Linked DNA regions of Ovis aries. The protein of the gene in region 1 purifies or fractionates together with the protein of each later gene. This does not show direct contact. Links are inferred from orthologs where the notes say so. Each region holds a gene or a part of one and is shown on either strand. Other genes may lie near its edges.

The links. The genes of interacting proteins can lie anywhere in the genome.
Region 2: the proteins of LIN28A (region 1) and RSBN1 purify together in Homo sapiens (co-immunoprecipitation; 3 studies listed by BioGRID and IntAct, with this or other methods). This does not show direct contact. The link is inferred for Ovis aries from reciprocal best matches to the Homo sapiens genes LIN28A and RSBN1.

The regions. Positions count from the first base shown.
Region 1 is NC_056055.1:240,443,308-240,447,052, forward strand, and holds the start of LIN28A (protein lin-28 homolog A), read right to left. Parts: upstream 2,774-3,745; 5' UTR 2,696-2,773; coding exon 2,665-2,695; intron 2,199-2,664; coding exon 2,002-2,198; intron 1-2,001. UniProt on the Homo sapiens protein: RNA-binding protein that inhibits processing of pre-let-7 miRNAs and regulates translation of mRNAs that control developmental timing, pluripotency and metabolism.
Region 2 is NC_056054.1:91,120,604-91,124,348, forward strand, and holds the start of RSBN1 (lysine-specific demethylase 9), read right to left. Parts: upstream 2,396-3,745; 5' UTR 2,333-2,395; coding exon 1,627-2,332; intron 1-1,626. UniProt on the Homo sapiens protein: Histone demethylase that specifically demethylates dimethylated 'Lys-20' of histone H4 (H4K20me2), thereby modulating chromosome architecture.

The sequences.
Region 1 (3,745 bases):
GTGGAATGTCCCTGGACATCCCAAGACCCCAAGTCCAGGTTATCTCCCAGCAAACCCATGTGAAACAGCATAGTGTGGGCTCCACTCCCCAAATCTGAAGGCTAGTCCCCATTTTCTTTTATGCCATCCCGTATTTCCCAACTGCTTTTGATCCTTTATAAAGGTTAAGTGGGCTGAGGCACAGATCCATTTGCTCAGGAAAACCTTCTTTGGGAGTTGGATATCACCAAAGAAGCTCAGAGGGACTACCTTCCCCTCCATCTTTCCCTATGTGGCAGCCTTTGGAAGGGAGGCAAGAAAATGTTGGGTCTGACTCTTTCATTCCAAGCTTTCCAAAGTTGGGGAAGATGTCCAGTTGTCTCCAGACAGGGAGAGATTTTAATCTCTTTGTGACCAGATAAATGGGGAGCTGGCCACCCTGCTGAGGAGGGCCATTCAAAGCTGGTTCCTGTAATAAAGTGATTTAATAGATCTAAAGAGGCCAATTCCCTTCTTTCGCCCACAATTACTTCCTGTGGGTTATCATTCACATATGTAAATGAGACAGGAAGTGGGGCTAGCCACCAGCCAGAATTAGTTGTAGGAAGGGAAGGGGGTAAAGCTGGGGGTCGCCGAAGCAGGGGAAGCCAGGGGGCAGCCAAGCATTCTGCAGCTGACCCTTCTGGCAGATGTTCTAGGAGCCCGGTGATCCCAGCGTTAACTGGTGGATCCCCATCTCCTTGCGTCCTCTCTCTCCCATGTTTCCCCATTCCGCGTCCTCACTGAGGGCCATGTGGGGACTTCCCCGCTGTTTCCCTCCAAACAGTCTACCCAGCATCTCCCTCTCCACCCCTCCCCCTCCAGAATACCATCCCTCAGGCTCCAACCCTTAATCCCCACATCCTCCTTTCCCCTCCCCCACTGCTCCTAAAGCCAACCTCCCCAAAGTAACCCCTCCATGCCCGGCCTGGGTGTCAACCTCCTGGGTCTGAGATTAGCAATTTCTTCTCAGGTCCAGCCCCAAACCTCCAAAGATGGAGGGAGCGCAAGCAACAACTTCCTCTACACAGTGGTTATGCGAGGCTTCCAAGATACTCGGGAAGGGGTGGCCAGGGAGGGGGGAAGACGAAGTCTCTGGTTCCTTGTTTGAGGCTGGGAATGTTAGGACGGCAATCAATGGCTATCTAGGGCCATAAATGCCAAGCTGAGGAGAATAGGTCCTGAGGCTAGCCTTTCTCCACCCCCTGCCCTGCGACACTGAATTTCACCCCCCAACCCCACCCCGTGCTGCCTTGCTTTAACTGAGAACTTGGGGTTGCGACCTAACTCCCGCCCCGGCTGGCTCAGGAGTCGAAGACCGGCCTCGTTGCCTTTTCTTTCCTAATAGGAAATAGACAGTAAGAGCCCCGCTAGTGATCCATGTGCCTGACACTGTGCTCTTGCGGAACTTCCAAGCCCCCCAAATAGATCCTTCAAGGATCTACCAAACCCACCCAGAACCCCAGGGCCTGGTGACCGCCTGGGTGTGAGGACCCGGCAGACTTCTCGGCTTTCCGCCGTTGGGTCCCGAAGCCGTCTTCCTCCCTTCCTTCAGGCCGGGACCTCCATTCACAAGATGCTGAAACGCGCGGGCGCTCAGGGCTCTGCTCTGACCGGGCATGTGCTTCCCTGGCCGGCCCGCTCGCCCTCCCCCCACTGGCAAGCACAATACAACCTTAGTTCTGCCACATGGGATCACCTCCCTGCCCCCTGCCCCCTGCCCAGGGGAAAGAGGTAACAGACACGTGGTAAACCAGAGGGGTTCCCGGAAGGGGGTGGGGGTGTTAATCATCGGCTCTTCCCCCGCTCTCGTCCCGTTGGAGTTAATAGGGACTCAGAACTGGGGTTCCTCGGCAAAGACGGGAACGCACAATGAGGGCCCTGGATCTCCCCTCAAACCCAACAGCCGAGTCCGTCCGCCCACTCTCGGATACGCGCGCCAACATCCCGTTCCTGCGGCAAAGTTACCAGAATCGCTCTCACCTGGTGCACAAAGACATCCACCGGGGGGTCGAGCGCGACCCCTGCGCGGGCGGTCATGGACAGGAAGCCGAACCCCATGCGCACGTTGAACCACTTACAGATGCCGGCACCGTGCAGCAGCTGCGGCTCCTCCGCCGCGCGGGCCGCGTCCTCCGGCGCCTCCTCCGGCGCTTCCTCCGGCGCCTTAGCGCAGCCACCTGGAGATTGGGAAGGCGCTCAGCTGGGGGGCCACGGAATTGGAGGACCCCCAGCAGAGAGCCGGCAAGGAGACCCGAGGGTCCAGCCCGAGGCTGGACAACCAGGAGGCTGCAGCTACCGAGCAGCCGGCGAGAAAATACCTGTCCCGGCCGCCTCCCGCGCTCCCCCAGCTTAAACTGAGGCCAGCGGTGCCCCGAAAGTTTTGCTTTTCTTTCCACAACACGTTGCCCGGGGACATGCGGCCAGACAGGCCCCTCCTCTTCTCTCCCCCCGCCCCCGGACCTTCAGCTTGCTCGCCACTGGGACACCAGGGTTCCTGGCTCCAGAGATGGCCCCCAGAAGCAGGAGGCCGCACAGACTTGGAGTCCTTGGGCTAGCCTGGGGGACACTTCACCACCTCTCTTTCATGTGGCTTCGGGGCGCCCCTGTCGCCTAAGGTGTCCCTAGTAAGTCCCGAGGTCGAACCTGCGAACTGCTGGTTTGACACAGAGCCCATGGTAGTCTGCTGAGCCCGCGGCCCCGGGCCCTCGCTTGGGCGGCTGCTGGCCCCAGAGAAGTCCGGAGGCAAAGGGGTGGCTCGGGGAAGAGGCAGCTACATCTTCCCCAGCACAATAGCGGTGGGAGGGCCCACGGCTTTTCAAAGGCTCCCAAATTCTAAAAGACAATGACCCAACCCCCCGCGGGCAGCCCCCCTCCCCTCCCTTCCCCTCCCCTCCATCGCCTTTCCCCTCCTTTTCCCTCCGGCTCCAGCTCTGGCCCTCCCCCACCACGGCGGTCTCTGACACCTCTGGGGTGTCCCTTCTCAGAACCTAGAGGTTTGACACCCCCTCCCCACACGCACATCTGGAGATTGGGGCCGTCAACCCTTCAAGTCTTGAGTACCCGGGAATTTGGGATCCTGCACTTTAAGAACTAGGCGGGGGTCCCCAAAGCAGCATACAGGTGGGGGGCATATGGCGGGGGGGTGCAGTTTTAAAGCCACGTGACTGCTCACACACACACACACACACACACACACACACACTTATACACCACCCCCACCCCCCGTGCAGATAATTATACATTCCAGAGAGTTGGGGGGGAGGGAGGTGTGAGCCTGGCAGCGCTGGCCAATCAGAGACACAAACCACCTGTCAAGGGAGAAATGGATGAGCCCTCCCCCTCCCCCAGCCCTGGAGCGCCCCTCCCCCTCCCTTCCCCTTCAGGCCTCAGAGCTGACCCGGCAGCTCGGCGCTGACCCGCTCTCGCCCCCCACCCCCGTGTGCTTAGATAGACCTGGAGTTCAGGACACTGGGAAGCTGGATGGGGAAGCAGGGGGAGGTGGGAGACCCAGCGGGGCCGATCTCCACTGCTGACCTAGGCGCAGCCTCTCTAAGTCTGTCTCTGAATGTCTCTGAGTTTCCCACCGAGTTTCTCTGGATCCCTCAAAGCACTCCCAATTGATTCCGTGTAAAGAATTCTTCCTCATTTCCTTCCAAATCTGTCTAAAATCTGACCCACGTGGAGTTTCCCAAGAGAACATAAGAAGGAACCGAAAGAGGCTTAA
Region 2 (3,745 bases), on another chromosome or scaffold:
CGATGTCAGAAATTCTAAATGGAACTGGTTACTGCCATTCTGATGCCAAAGAACAGGGAAAAGGTAAGCAAAGAACTGGAAAAAATGAATAGCAGTATGAGAAAGCAACACATGCAGCTGGACAATGAAGCTTGAACTAGGATTCAGGAGATCTAGGTTCTACTCTCTATTATGCCAATGATTTTTTACTTGTTACTAATTAACCGTGACTAGATTAGACAAGTCTCTTCGCTACTTTAGGCCTGGGTTTTCATTCTTCTACAATACAAATTTGATTTGGATGATCTCTGAGATTCCCTCTGGCTCTATACAATTAAAACCCACAAAAATACATACACATATGAAATGAAAAAGTGAAAAATAAAGGTAAAAATAAAACAGAGCAAGATTATTGTATACTGGTGGTGGAAACTGGCACTCCTGTCCATCTGGCACAAGTTCTATTCCTCAGAATAAGACTCAGATACCAACAAAGGAAGAAAAATTTAATTCAGTTCAATAAAAACTTACTGAGCAGTAATCTGCAACAAACTGCACCATCACAAAACTAAGTAGCCCTAGGTTAAGACCATTTAAATATGTGTAAGAAAGCCAAAACTCACCCAACCTGAGACTGAAAGACTAGTTCATTAACACATAACTCAACTGCCCCAGTACTAAGAACACAGAAGTATTTTAAACTCTTCAGAAGATAATGCTAAGAAATTACATAAAATCACCTACAAAGTACAAATACATGGCATAGTCAAAATTCTTATCCGCGCCCCCGCCTCCCTCTACCAAAGAGAATGAAAATAAATGCTACAGGTACTTTCGAATAGGAAAACAGCAATTTTTGTGAATCTAATTTCTCTAGAACCCACACTCACTTAGTAGAGTCCTACATCTTCTGGATTATATTCTTGACTTTAGTAAGTCTACTGGAAATAAATTCTCAATTTGTTGTGCCAGGTTAATTAAAATGCAACTGGAATTCTTGTCTCTACTATCGCCTACTGAACATTTCCACTTTTCAGAGGCTCGGCTGGTACTATTTTCAAGGATCAAAGAGGAGAGAAAACCCTTTCCTGAAAATTAAAAATGATTTTTACCTCCACATTAAAAAGAAAACACACACAAGATAAACTGTGTTTGATATCTCATCTTTCAGAAGCTAAGGCAACCTGTGAGTCGAGCTAATTAATCTCGGTAAAAATTCAAACTCCTTAATAGCCCCAAACCATACTCGTTAATTTTGTGGAGCTTTCCATCAAGGAAAACGGGGGGGGGGGTGTTTTAGCGACAAGCCTTTACTTCAGACAGTTTTTAATACCCCACATACTATCCCATGCCAAGGATCGCGCGGCGCGGAAACCCTGACGATTTTGAAAACAAACGTAAAGGCTCCGGGAGGGGGGAATGGTAAGGGGGTTAGTAACTGACAGCTCGGCCTCGAAGCAAGAAGCTTCAAGTAGGTCAGACCGTGTCGACGGACGGAAATCCAGGGTCCACCCCAGTGGGCTTAGGGGAGTAGAGCAGCAGGAGGTAAGCGGAGGGCAGGCGTCTTTCAGGATTAAAGGGGCGGGATATCGAAACAGAGAGAGACCCAGATAGAGCCCGAGCTCGGGGCAGTTCGGCTGCTCTCACCTCTCTTGGGGGCCTTGAGGAGAGGCACCCCTCCTGTCCTCTCGCCGTTTTCCTGCTTGTCCTTGTGCTTGAGCTCTCCGGGAGCGCAGGGGCCGGGGTCACCATCAGAGCCGCGGTGGTGATGGTGCTTGTGCCGCTCCTTGTGGCCCTTATGCTTGGGCCCGGCTGCGCTCACCGTCAGGGGCGAGAAGGTGAAGAGGGCCGAGGTGCCCGGGGCCGGGAGCGGGGCAGCGACAGCGGGTCCGGCGGGTGCCAGCGAAGGTGGCGGCGGAGGCGGCAGGAGCAGAGGCTCAACAGGGCCTGGGACGGTTGGGGCTGCATTCGTTGGCGGCAGCGGCCCGGGATGTTGGCGGCTGCGACGCCGCCGGTGAGGGGGAGCGAGAGGGGGGTCCTGGCTCGGCCGCCCTCTCTTCTCCTGAGACCCCCCGCTGCTCGCTCGGCGCTGCCGCTTAACTCCCCGCGGCGAGACCCCAGCGTGGGGTTTCTCCTTCCCGTCTTTGTCCGCCTCCTCCTGCGCCGCCACCGCCCGTACTACGCGCACCGCTCCGACCTGCGCAGCCATTTCACCCACAAACACACATTTAAATGGCCCGACCGCCCCCCCGTCCGCGTATCGCGCAAGCGCCGCCCGCGCACGGCCCGCTGGGCATTGGAGTCTCTCCCCCACCCTCCACTTCTCGGCCATTCTTCGTCCAGAGCTGAACATGCCGGAAGCGGCACTTCCCGGCGCTTCTCCGCAGGCCCCTCCGACCGAGCTCTGTTGTAAAGTACCCAAGGCCGCGCAGAGCCTCACGGGAGCGGTAGTTCCCCGCGCCCCCGCCGCGTAGCTGGCTCGTCGAGCCGAGGAGCCGAAAGAGAGCGTGCGCCGAGTCACGCTTCGGGCTGCGACGCAACCGCCGCTGGGCGGAGAGTTGCCGCCAACCGCCTTAACGGCCGAAACAATGTTAATAGCTTTCGAAGTCTGTAGGCGCGTTCCCATTATCGTCTCCGTGTGCCCCTTCGTCATTTTACACGGAGTGGGTGGTCTCCATAGTTACTTTTCAGTTTGCTATTCCTCTCATAACCTTTGTGAGGTAAAAGAATCTCCGGCCTTCTACAACCCTGGACAAGCGATGAGATGCAGAGGAAAAGGGAACGTAGTAACATAGCAAATGAGGGCGATTTTGCTTTAAGATAGAATGGAGCTGCAAATCAGACATTTCTGAACCTCTTCCTGGGCAGTAATTGCTATGGTTACAAGCACAGGCGCGACGAGGCAGGTGCAAGAATTGCCTGGGAGCCTGCTGAGCGCCGCCCACCTCTCCATCGAGTCACAGCCCCTCTAGTGCCTGGAAAGGTAGAGTCTATCTATTATTTAAATCCGTTCCTGCAGTTGCGAAAAAATCCTAGATGGAAAAGTATGTTTTGAAATTTCTTAAGATTTTTTCAAATCGTAAATATACGGCTGCATAAATTTGAGAAGTGTGTCTACCATAGCGCGCTCCAGAAATCATCACTACTCACCAAGTTTTCTGCCCGGAAGTTTATTTACAATTTGATCGGAAATTTATTTACAATTTGATCGTCACGTTACAATTTTACCGCCTTGATAAAGATATTTGGAAGTAATTGATTACAATAAACTACTCAAGATAAAATCACTGTGGTTTGATACCACTAGTATGAAGTATTCAGCTCAGTGAACACTATAAAGTTAGTTTAAAAGCCAGAAAGTTTATTGAGCACCTCTTGTATACAGTACACTATACAATAAAAAGGTAATATTTCATCTAATGTGTGTCTTCATTGGGATTCCTAATGAACAATATTGAAGAACAAATGACTATGTATTTCATTTTCGTAAAGCTATAAACTTTTTAAGTGAAATCATTATTAGTCAAGGGGGAATCCTTTGTAACAATCACCCACTAACTTGTTTGTTATATACAATTAGATTTGAAAGATCAACTTTCTTAAGGCAAATCCATATTAATATAGAGAAAATTTTAACTAGTAGTACCTCTGGTTAGTTGGATATAAGTTGCACATGTTTTACAGGACCTTTGAAATGAAAACATGCTACTGTATAAACAAAGCATGTTTATACAGCTGCTTTTTGTTCTGTTTTGTCTTTATTTTT